Xenopus tropicalis: one gene and its partner. The protein of the gene in region 1 purifies or fractionates together with the protein of each later gene. This does not show direct contact. Links are inferred from orthologs where the notes say so. Each region holds a gene or a part of one and is shown on either strand. Other genes may lie near its edges.

What was found. Proteins that work in one complex are often made in the same cells at the same time.
Region 2: the proteins of cdc25a (region 1) and cul1 purify together in Homo sapiens (affinity purification with western blotting; 6 studies listed by BioGRID, with this or other methods). This does not show direct contact. The link is inferred for Xenopus tropicalis from reciprocal best matches to the Homo sapiens genes CDC25A and CUL1.

Annotation. Positions count from the first base shown.
Region 1 is NC_030682.2:12,718,524-12,724,920, reverse strand, and holds the start of cdc25a (M-phase inducer phosphatase 1), read right to left. Parts: upstream 4,355-6,397; 5' UTR 4,029-4,354; intron 3,838-4,028; 5' UTR 3,800-3,837; coding exon 3,642-3,799; intron 1,969-3,641; coding exon 1,889-1,968; intron 1,764-1,888; coding exon 1,712-1,763; intron 1,326-1,711; coding exon 1,287-1,325; intron 774-1,286; coding exon 737-773; intron 478-736; coding exon 379-477; intron 1-378. UniProt on the Homo sapiens protein: Tyrosine protein phosphatase which functions as a dosage-dependent inducer of mitotic progression. Directly dephosphorylates CDK1 and stimulates its kinase activity. Also dephosphorylates CDK2 in complex with cyclin-E, in vitro.
Region 2 is NC_030682.2:55,180,496-55,186,412, reverse strand, and holds part of cul1 (cullin-1), read left to right. Parts: intron 1-2,893; coding exon 2,894-3,025; intron 3,026-3,249; coding exon 3,250-3,342; intron 3,343-3,842; coding exon 3,843-3,890; intron 3,891-5,471; coding exon 5,472-5,554; intron 5,555-5,826; coding exon 5,827-5,917. UniProt on the Homo sapiens protein: Core component of multiple cullin-RING-based SCF (SKP1-CUL1-F-box protein) E3 ubiquitin-protein ligase complexes, which mediate the ubiquitination of proteins involved in cell cycle progression, signal transduction and transcription.

The sequences.
Region 1 (6,397 bases):
TGTTATTGATTTGTAAGCACAAAAATGACAAAACTAAAACACTGCATTTGCTGCAGCTAATCTAAATCAGACAAATTCAACTTGCAGTCCTCCTGCTAGGCCACAACTACCATGGGCCAGTGTATGGGCCCTTGTGGCACATAGTTCAAGATGCTACTGTGCCATTTACTACCTGCTTTGCAGCCTTTTAACACCTTAGCAGGCAGGGCAGGGTTTAATAGCAGTTGATTGATATCCAATGCTATATAAGAGCTTTAGAAATGATTCTATGTCCATTTAAATTTGCCAAATTGTTATTACACGGATCTGGGAATAATATTTAAATGTCTCAAATGCATTTTCTTTTCCTGAATGACTTGATAATAAACTAGTACTTACATTCTCCTTGTTCTCCAGGTCAGCTGCGTGGAACACTTCACATTCTAGAGAGTAAGAGAGATTCCTCTTAAAGGCAGGGCTGGATCCCAGTAGGTTTTGCTGAATGGAAAAAAGGAAGGGGGTTAAAGTACTGGTATGTTACCAGCTGCAATGTCCCCCTTACACACCGACTGTGCCATCACTGCTGTGGGACAAAAACAACTCATTCAGCAGCCGAAAAGGAATGAGCAGCTACAGTACAAGGTCAGTGTGTACAGCACTACTAACACTGGTATGTTACACAATTAATGCTACTGATGTCAACCATATCAATGTTTAGATGGTACCAGTATATGAGATAGTTTAATATAAAACTCACCGGCAGGGAGTTCCTCCTTTTGATTGGTAACCTTGTGCTAGAAAGACAAAAACACCATTTTGATATGTGAAAAGATCAATGGAGGATGAGCAAGAAAATCTCTACATTGTCAGAACTATGACACTTTTGGTGCAAGTTGTAAACTCCTAGTTATCTACAACCTCGGCATGTTCTGTTTGTGACCCCACTGGGGCAGGAATGGAGTGCGTCACTTAAGCAGGTCTTTTCACGGCATTCTACTCCCTTGCTCAGACAAAGCAGCATGCATACTGGCCTAGGGACACTGGCTGCCTGTGTAAGCTAGATTAGCCTGTAAGTGGGCAGACATTTGGTGGGCAGCCTGAGACAGTGGTCCCTCGGCTTCCTCAGGTTTGTGAATGATTACACAGAACTTACAGGAAAGGGGAAAGAAGTGGGTGGGGTCAGCAGCCAAAGAAAGGATACTCTTCCTGCAGCCATTTGTATTTCTACAGAAATTCTCTTTAAATTCAGCTTAGTTTAACCAGGGTACCATGATTCCCACTACTGTATCTTTAACAAACATACTTACTGTCCAAGCCTGTCAGAATTCTGAGTCGATTTCTGAAACCTAAGAGGGAGAATAAAGTGCATTTTAAATATGAGCGAAAAGCAGTTATGGCGACTTCTGGGGAGAGTCAAGCAATGTGCATTCATATAACACTGAGTTGGAGACTCTGGAATGGATATCATTTGCATAGTTACAGGTATTTGTTAATTAAGCTAAACAGCGTGTAAACCTTATGAATGCCTGAAATGTGTTTTACTGGAAACAGCTGAAAATGGAGAATCACTGCCCCTTTAAAGGGGAAGGTCCATTACACACCATAGCAATCCCCTTAAGTTTGCCAGGCAGGCTCGCTAAACTGTGCCACGGGCAAAACATTTCAGCCCTGAGAAAAGCATGGCTGCCAGTAGTTTGATTTGCACTGAAAAGGTGAAAGCACAGATACGTACGTTTCTTCCGTGTCATTTAGATCCATCTTGATTGGAGAATCCAGACAGAGTCCTGCAAACAAAATGGGAGTCAGGTAGTGAGAAGCAAGAAAGACCTCCATTTACAAGTCACTGTAACCAGATCCTTACAATACATCTGTATATACTGAAGCCATTTATGTTATGGCAAAGACATACCAGCGTCCATAGATTCCGAAGAGTCTGTTCTTCTCATAGACCAGCGCTCTCCGAGCTTACGTGTCGGCGTTTCACACTGGCTAAAATAGGAAGAAAAAAAAAAAAAAAAAAGACTTTAAGGACGTCCTATAACTATAGTGGTATATTAAAAACAAACAAAAAACACGATTTTGAATCTTTGCCACAGCAACCAGAAAACAAAAAAAACATGCTTACTACAAACATAGAGGTTTTGCACTTTAATCTGAGGCTCAGTCATTTCAGTTATCACCCCAATACTAAATACAATGGATTATTCCCTCAGCACCCACTACTGATATAGAAATTGCTTTACACAGACTTTCAGCACTTCTTAGATATCACCTAGATGGCAAATGCATATGATTTTTGGGGGGGGGGGGGGGGGGGGGATACAAAGCTTTGCCTTAATAACAGTGTTCACAAAATGGTGCCTCCCTGCTGGCTGTGACTAAGTTCCAACACGTATAATAAAAAAAATTATATAGTTTAAGTTTATTTTGCTCAACTAACATGATAGAAAAGGACTTGGAATTATTTATTACAGGTCCACTTTAATGGATAGCCTGTTCCTAGTGGGCCATATGCTGCAGGACAAGTAGCCAGTTAAATGGCTCTCAGTCTGAGCGGAACTCTGGCACACATGGAACAAGTGGGGGTAAAATGACCCTCAGTACCCTGAGAAGGTTGTCAATCTACCCCCACTGCTGGGCACCAGGGCCTTGTATAAAAGACTATGGGTTTGCGGATTAGTTGTGTGCAATATTTCAGTCTGAGGAGCTGGGAAAGGTTTCTCTGAAACGCGGGGAATAAAAGGAAATGCACCACCCTTGCTGACTGTTCCACTAGTAGATTTTAGCCCCTTTATAGCAATGATCGCCTCCTTCTGCTTTCAGCATTGCTGGGAACGAACATGCCCAGGTTTCATTCCTAGTAACCCACATGTGCAAGGAAAATGGCTGCCATTCCACATGTGACACCCTGTTGCTGTAAATACTTAGGGGCATAACTCCTAAGTGCCATGTTTATTTGCAGGATGTCCAACAAGCCAAATGACTGCATTGCATGGAGATCCAGGCTGTAAACACATGACTGCATTGCACAGAGATCCAGGCTGTAAACACATGACTGCATTGCACAGAGATCCAGGCTGTAAACACATGACTGCATTGCACAGAGATCCAGGCTGTAAAGACATACTTTGCTGAAGTCCCACAATCACTGTGCCCAGTCTCAACAAGCAAATACATCAAATCTGCAGACATAAGTCAGGCACCCACTATAGTTTGTAAAGCCACCATTAGAAGGAGGGGCTAAAACAAAAATACCATTAACAAGCCAAGGAGGGGGCAAATGGGTTTCTTAAAACAACCCCCCCCCCATAGCCTCTGACCCATTCATCCAAACCTGTGTCTCTAGGTGCCTAGGTTAAACTACATCTCCCTGCACAACATAACATGGGATAATGGAAGTAGTTCAGCAACAGCACCGCAGACTCAAGATTGAGTAGAATGGGCCCTTGCAATAAGCCAAGCCAGGGTCCCCAATCCAGGAGATATTGATATACATAGACCATCATACAGGTTGTTTTGGGCTACAACCCCCAGCACCCTTAGAAAGTCTATGGCTGAAGGTACATGTTGGACACCCTCAGCAGAACAGATGTGACCATGAAGCCTTTTCTGTCCAACCCAACAGTCAAACCACATAAGTAGTAATTCCTCATGGCCATTACCTGCCCAGGCCTGCCAGTTGGTCCATATTGATAGCGAGGCTAGTGACCGGAGATAGGGCAGTGTCTGCCTCGCAAGAGAACAGGGACTTAACCACGGGGAGGCCAGAGAGGCGGTTGGATCCTCTGACATGAGCCGGAGCTGAACGACACCTCTCCATCTTCACACTGAAAATGATGCGGCCGGGCACAGCAACCTCTGCAACGAGAAGAAAGTACATAAGGCATAATGGTAGAGAGGGGCGGGTTCACTAAGCTAGCGAGTCATTAGCGCTAAATCTATAGTTTCTAGGGCCATGCGGGCGGGTAATTATTGCGAAGTATAAGCAGACACAAGCAACTCCGCTATATTGTTCCTGTAATGTAAATATATATACATAAAAAACATACAGGGAATTGTAGTGCTCCAAAATCTGGCCTCCGAATCGTAAAAAGGTGATAGCGGCAAAATGAAGGCCCGAGTACCTCTTAGTTGTCCTGCAGCAGCGGAGGTGGGAAGGCCTACCACACGCTACCGACTCCCCGTTAGTTCCGCAGGCTTAGCGTCACCGCTTAGCTTCCGATCAACCACGGAACTAGCCCGATCCACGTCAATCTAATAGACCCTTCCACTTCACGGGCTTAGATTTGGCGCCATGACGGTACAGCGAATGAGGAGCGAGCGTGACAGGTCTCTGGGCCAATCCGCGCCAGCACAGCTGCAGGCTGTAAACCAATCCCGAAGCTGACTGTGGCGCCCTTATTCTCGCGTATCTAGTTCGCATGACTGACAGCACACCCATCCAATGGCAACTCCGAACACGCACAAGCTGAACGATGAATCGATAGTGGCTGCTGGGCGGGAGAAAATGCTGCCAATCGGAGGAGCGTAGACATGGCCAGCGCCGTGAGGCGCGAAAAAAGTGAAAAGTCGTGTTAGTTCCTGTTAGTGACAGGAACTGAGAGTTCTGCGTCATGTAGGGCTGTCTCGCCAAAATGTATGATTTATATGAAGTTTTATGGCAACTGTATCAATAATTTAACTCATTCATTTAGAAATAATTCAGTAACAGTACTAATATTGCGGCAAGGTCGTTTAGAGGTTATGTACATACCTGGGAGCTGTCCCTTATCAGGGCTAGTATAAGGGCAAGAGCAGTTGCAATAGATCTGTGCTATGGCAGGACACTAACTGCTCTGAAAAGGTTTTCCACTGGCAACAATGGGAGTCGCTGATGGAAAGCCTTTCACATCACTTTGTTGTGCGAAGTTGCTTGTGGGAGGAAACTGCGGCTTCAGATTACCGAAATGATGCCAATGGCTTTCCACCGGGCTCCGATTGTTGCCAGTGGAAAGCCTTTTCGCAGAGGTTAGTTGCCCGCAATAGCAGAGATTTATCGCGGGTGACTCGGCTGCTCCGTGGGACATCAGCATATGGGTGAAGACACACGGAGCTACTAGTAGCAGCTACTAAAACAGACAATGCTGATCATTTACTGATAATTGTCTTTACATGTGTTTTAGCAGAGGCAATTCTCAGTATTGTCTATGGTAGGGTGTTTAGTAGCTCTGTGTGTCTTCACCCTAAAGGTCCCCATACACGGGCCGATAGAAGCTGCCGATATGGGTCCCTTGGACCGATTCAGCAGCTAATCGGCCCGTGTATGGGCAGAAATGAGCAGCCTGGCCGACCGATATCTGGCCTGAAATTGGCCAGATATCGATCGGGCAGGTTAGAAAATCCAGTCGGATTGGGGACCGCATTGGCTCGTTGATGCGGTCCCCGAACCGACTGCCCATGGCCGCAAATGTAATCCGATACTTATTTCCCCACAAAGCCATTCCACTGGGTAGAATGTAAATCGCCGGTGGGATGGTATATGCATCAATACGATTTGCCCAAGTTTCCTCTCAAGGCAACTTGGGCAAATCGTATCGATGCATGTGCCATCCCACCAGCGATTTACATTCTAGCCAGTGGGATGGCTTTGTGGGGAGATTAGTAGCCCGTGACAATGGAGATTTGTTGCAGCGCAACTAATCTCCCCATGTACCCCTGTCCTTAGGGTCATATGCCCAAGGCCCAAATGGCAATAGGTGCCCCTGGAGGAGGAATAACTAAAAGATTACATTGTGTAAAAGTTAACGATATCTGCCCTTTTAATATCGTCATCAAACATTTTTATTTGGCTGGCCGATAATATACTGGCCCGTGGCAACCCTGCTTTGAACTTTATGGGACACATTTCAAAATCATTACATTTCAGATTTGTCTGCTTCCCCGCCTGTGATTTTGTTTTTTCTTTTGGAATTCAGCTCTGGCACATATGGCATTTACATTGTAGGGTTGCGACCTGGCCGTCTGGGAAAAATTATGCTTGACCCCAATGTTATAGGGAAAAAAGAAATATAGGAAAGCTAGTATTTTTTCCCAGAATAGGTGGCAACCCTTTGCCCTTTCTATCAGTAAAATATAAACTATATATATTTATTACATTTCAGATTTGTCAGCTGCCCCAATTGTGATTTCCTTGATTTTTTGGAATTAGGCTGTGTCACGTGCAAATTACTATCAGCAAAATATAAACTTGTCTTGCAATCTGACTGATATTTTACAGGCCTGTCTGGTAAAAATGATTTAAGTCAATGTTAATAATAGGGCAAAAAAGATAATACCCTCCTTGGCAGGTGAGCCTTGCATAGGGGCTTGCCAGTGCCAGTAGGTTTTATAACACATGATGTTACAAAATGGGATTGGAGCTGATGATGTTGCTGAACAG
Region 2 (5,917 bases), about 42 Mb from region 1:
GTGATGGGTGGAGACGCACTAAATTCTCATATCGGCAGTATTCATTCCAGGGATTCAGAACTGGGAGGCGGACTATCTGAGTCACTCCACATTGGACCAAGGAGAGTGGCACCTCAAACCAGTAGTCTTTCAACATATAGTGAACAGATGGGGGTCTTGGCAGAAGGAGTGGATGCGCTTATCAGCCCATGGCACTGTCAGATGGCGTACGCATGCCGTCCCATTTTCCACTATCCATGTTGGCAGTGCAGAGTGTGATTTGCAGATCTGATACAGATCTCATCGGCATAACCATGGCCTCTTCCATTAATTGCAGATCTTCTCTCGCAAGGCCCAGCGGATGCAGAACACATACACAGGCTACTTGTTGTAGCTACTAAAATAGACAATGCTGATCATTTACTGATAACTGTCTCTACGTGTGTTTTAGCAGAGGCAAGCCTCAGTATCCATGGCAGGGTATTTTCTGGCGTTTTAGTAGCCATGAAAAAGTAGCTGCTACTAGTAGCTCAGCTTGTCTTCACCCTTATGGCTAGGTTGACCTTGAATTCCTGTCCTGGAAGATAGCCTTTCTCCTGATCAGTGTCCTTGGACAACATTTCATCAGGATAAAGTAGTTCTCTGCACAGTCCAATCTCACCTTTCTAAGGGCACATCATACTTTCACTTCTGTCCAAAGCCAACTAATGATTTTGAACAGCAACTACATACTTTGGATGCAGTAAGGGTGCTTAAAATCTACTTCCATAGTACTGCTGAGTTTAGGTTGGATGCCCTGTTCGTTTTGTAGCAACTACAAGCATCTAAACACTCCTTAGAAAGATGGATAGTCGCAGCTATTTGAGAGGCTTATAGGTCCCATGCCATTATGGCCTTTTCAGAAGCAGTCTTTGGCAGGAAGATGCTAGAAGCAGCAGCAGCAACATATCTAGCTCATGCCTTTTTCTTAGTTCAGCTGCATTGTTTTGTTTTTGGTTTTTTTTGAGGGTTTTGGGACTTCCCCAGTTGTCCTGCATTGACCGACTGAGAAAAGGAGATTTGGTTTTTTTTACCCTGAAACATCTTTTCTTGTAGGCCGTACTGTCAGTGCACCATTCCTCCCTTTTTGGGGTGCTAGTTATTGCTGCTCGTCACATTGATAGTTCGGTTCTTCTGTCTCCCCCAGCAGGCTTTGCGGGGTAAGAGGGGGAGACACGAAGAAGAAAGGGTTTCAAGAAAGACTTATCAAGGCCCCAAACCCTTTAACTCGGCACAAATATGGTGGACTTCCCAAATACCAACACTCACCCAAGATGATTGGGAGGAGGCAACAGACTCCATGTGTAACTGTCTCATCTCTACTAGAGACAGATTGATACAGTATAAAACCTTTCATCACCTGTATATCACACCATTAAGGTTGCACCAGATGGGCCGTACCCCAACAGATAAGTGCCCGAGATGTGCAGCCAGCCCTGCTAACTTTTTCATATGATCTGGGCATGTCCCCATATCGCTACGTTCTGGTCAGCAGTCACTAAATACTTATCGAATAACTTAGCCTTCCCTACTGTGACTGCTCCCGAAACTTACTAGCTTACTAGGAGTCCTAGACAGTATAATTGCTCAAAATAACTCCCGGATATGCTACAGAATTCTCCTGTTCTATGCAAAAAAAACAGTCGCAATGGATCGGATGGGCTCTACCCTGCCGACCGTTACAGCCTGGAAGAATCTAGTGAATGCGGTAGCCCCTCTGTATAAACTCACATACGAGACGAGAGACGCACCTGATAAATTTGACAAAATTTGGGGCCCTTGGTGTGACCTAGAGGGAAATTGATCGATCCCGCTCCTAGCTGCATAGTAAGTCCCCCAACGCCTTCCCACCTTTTTCTGCCATACCCTGAACATCTAACTCGGTAACGTGACGGACCCAATATGTTGGAACTGTTGCCAGACTCGCATTCACACTCTGTAATGTTAAACCTATCCCGTTGATGTTTGTAACAAATGTTAGAGATAGACCTGGAAAAGAAAGTCCAATACGTTTTCCTCATTGCACTATAAAATGTGTTATTTTATGTTTGTATGAAAATTAATAAAATGCACCTTTCAAAAAAAAAAAAAAAAAGACATCAGTTTGTCCTGCCTCCAGAGAGAAATAACTTAACCCAATGTCTTGCACTGCCAGGTAGGGCCTACGAGAAAAAGATTTTTCAGGTTAGAAAATCTCTTTATTTCACCCACAAATTGATTTTAGCTTTATATAGATTTATAGTGGACTGATATATTTGTAATTAATTGGTGCATTTAATGCTTAATTAAATGTGCCATTCTAGTATGATTGTGCCACCTATTGGTTGCAAACTGTAACTTGTAACTTATTTTACTCTTTATTAAGTGGGGTTTTCTAAGTGTTTTGCACCATCTGTTGGTTGAAAAGTGCAATAGGAGTTCCAATAGGCTACATTATATGGGAATAGTACAACCCAAATTTTACAGTTTTCAGTGGACCAAAAAATTCATGTAAAAGCCTGTAAAAATAGGTTAACACCTTAAGCAACTTTAAAGGTTTAGAAGAGCATTTCCAAGACCTGTAAATCGGATGCATAGCCTGACCCAAGAAGTCCTGTGTGGGCTGTCATAGGAGGTGCAAACTAATTGATGGTTTGTAAGGGCCAATTAGGACTTGTGTGAGTGAACTGGCACTTTGGAGGTAGGACCATTATCCTTGTAGTAGGATTCTTCCTTTCCCATGAGCACGATTCGAAACGGAGAACAAAAGCCTTTGGCTTTATAGTTTATTAATACAGTTAATCACTATAGGTGGGTGCTCTTATGAATGTGACAGTTCAACCCACTTATCATATGCAGAACACAAATAAAATGTTTTAATTCTCTTCCTTTACAGTTGGAACGCAGCTATCAAAGGTTTACAGCTTTTTATGCCAGCCGCCACAGTGGAAGGAAGTTGACTTGGTTATACCAGTTGTCTAAAGGAGAACTGGTCACAAACTGCTTTAAAAATAGATACACGTTGCAGGTATGTTGCAAGCAAAGAAGTGTATTGCTTAAATACCTAAAACAAATTGTGCACATCACATGTTGACTGTGAAGTAGAGGTTTGCAGTGCAGAACTGAGAGACAGCATGGTAACATTGCAGTTGGAACTAATGGAAAATTACTAATGATTTGGTACTGTTTAGTACTGCCTTGCTTTTGATGTATGATGTATACTGTGGTCTTTTTTCCCGATTCCTTTTTCAGGCATCCACATTCCAGATGGCAATCCTGCTGCAGTATAACACAGAAGATGCCTACACAGTGCAGCAACTGACAGATAGCACACAGATAAAAATGGTAACCGTATACAGTTTAAGGCCTCTATCTTATAAAAATTATGCTTGTTTGTTAAAAGCCATTATAGATTGTCACAGAGATAACTGTAATAATAACTATTTTGGCAGCTAGGGTTAGGCCTATGTGGGACAATTTTGATGGCTACTAGTAGTGCTGATCAGAACACACTTCTCCTTTCCCACTTACCAGTCTTGGAGCTCTGGGTGTAGATGACTTCATTTCTAGCATTGTCAGACTCTTGTCAGATTAAAGGTTAATGTCACATTTTTAGCAGAGGCACTGGAACTGCCTGTCCCGCCTGTCATTGTAATGACAACCTTTTATCTCCAGAATTCATATTGGACTAAGATGAGCCGTAATCCTAAACACCTAATGTACTTGCTAGAAGAATGGAAGCTCTTGGTTCACAAAGTCTAATTAGACTACAAATGTTTTCATGTGTTTCCTAATTCTAAATTAATCTTATCACACTGCTGCATTTCCTTTATTCCTTTTTGCAGGATATACTTGTGCAAGTTCTTCAAATTTTGCTGAAGTCTAAGTTATTGGTAAGTTTCACAGTTTCTGGTGTTCGCCTAAAACAGCAATAGGCTGAATACAGTTCTGTAGCTCAGAAGAAATTTTGGAATCGGGTCCCTTTAAAAGATTTTAAAAAAAATTGTGTTCATAGCGATCATTATCACATAGTTAAAGATCCCTGGGACTGTAAGCTTTCAGGCGTTAAAATATACTTTTAGGCTAATGTCACATGGTGTTTTGTCAACAGACTAAAAAAATGCCAATCTACTCTAACCCACCCCATGGCCATTAAGCAGTGACAGGAATCATGGGATTGGCATTTTGACAGCACCTTGCATGGTATAAGCCTTACTGGTGTTGAGGGCTTCCCCTTCTAATGCAAGTCATCCCTAGGTAATGATGGTTGCCACATAATAGCCAATGTAAGCATGGTCAGGGTTATTTATGTTTACATTTTGGGTGTCATTATTATACATTGCCCTCTGAAAGACAAGAAGAATCTCGTGAATTACACGACGTTGACATAAACATATGCTTAAGATGTTACTTACAGCTTAACTCATATGTTACTATACATTGCCTGTGTTAAGTGCATCTGCTGTATTTCTTCATTAGATCAGAGTAATCATAATAATTAGCAATTACTTGGAAATTACCTCACAGAGAAATAAAGTAGTAAGTGGTACTTGCCTTGAAAGCCAATGTATGGTAAGAGTGAAGTTGAATAGGTGTATGTACACGATAGGTCTGTACACTTTCCCTTTTGGCCAATCAAACCTGCAGGAGGAACAAAATTACTGGGGGTTGCCTAGCAAATTTGATCGAGTTTTATTCTACTTCAAATAAACATTTAAAAAAAAAAAAACTTGAATGTTTGCTTATTTATTTAAGATCTGAATATGAAAAACTCATTAGAATAAAAAAAAAAAAACTAATACCTTGAATTTTTGAGTTTACAAACTCAAAAATCTCGAATTGAAAATATGGCTTGGTTTTGTCTAGGACAACTCCATTGTCATCTACGTAAACACGCAAGCTTTTAGATGCCGACGTTTTACATTACAGTTTTTGGTGTTTTTTTTTTTGCACTCAATAAATATCAAATATTTGAGTTTTTGAACCATAATTACAATACATTACAAAAATTACAATCACCCCCTTGTTGTCTTTCTATTAATCCTAGCATTTGTGGGTGAATGCATGTGCTATAGAAATGTTTTTAGGCTATATCCCCTCGTTCACAAAGGGGAATCCTTCGGAGGGGATAAAACAACTGCAATTTTTTAAAAAAGAATCAGTGAGGGCCTGAGAAATTGGCATACCCCAGTGAGTTTAGCCTGCACTTCTTTTGTACTACAAACAGCTGGAACTGCAGGAAAGAAATATATTTGGCTAATTATAGAGCTCACTTACTCAATATACCATCACCTTGCGTACTCTGTTTTTTGCATCAGTGTGGGGCCGAAGTATATCAGATATGCATTCAGTATGTTATAGGTTGTTTGATCATGTGCCTCATTTTGTTGTCTTAACTTTAACACCTTTATCCTTTATAACACTAAGGCGCATCAGTGCAAATGTCTTTAACTTCTTCCCTTCTTTTAATATAGGTTTTAGAAGATGAAAATGCAAATGTGGATGATGTAGACTTGAAGCCAGATATTTTAATAAAGCTCTACCTTGGTTATAAGAAGTAAGTTTTAGCAACATATTAAAGGTGACTCAGCGTTGCCTCTGGGGGCAGAGTTTCCACACGTTGGCACATACAAATGCCTTTATAAGTGATGTGGTTTAAATGGGATGGCCTAGAACATCCAGCTGGTGTGGTGCAGAAGCATTGACACCATGGCAAACAGCTTTTAGGATACTTTATTCATAAAAAAGCTTGTCTCTTTAGTGGCTTAGACATCAGGCCTCTCCCTTTCAGAAGCTGGAACATAATCTCTTTATTTTTTTTTTTTGCAGTAAGAAGTTAAGAGTGAACATAAATGTGCCCATGAAAACAGAACAGAAGCAGGAACAAGAAACAACACACAAAAATATAGAGGAAGACCGA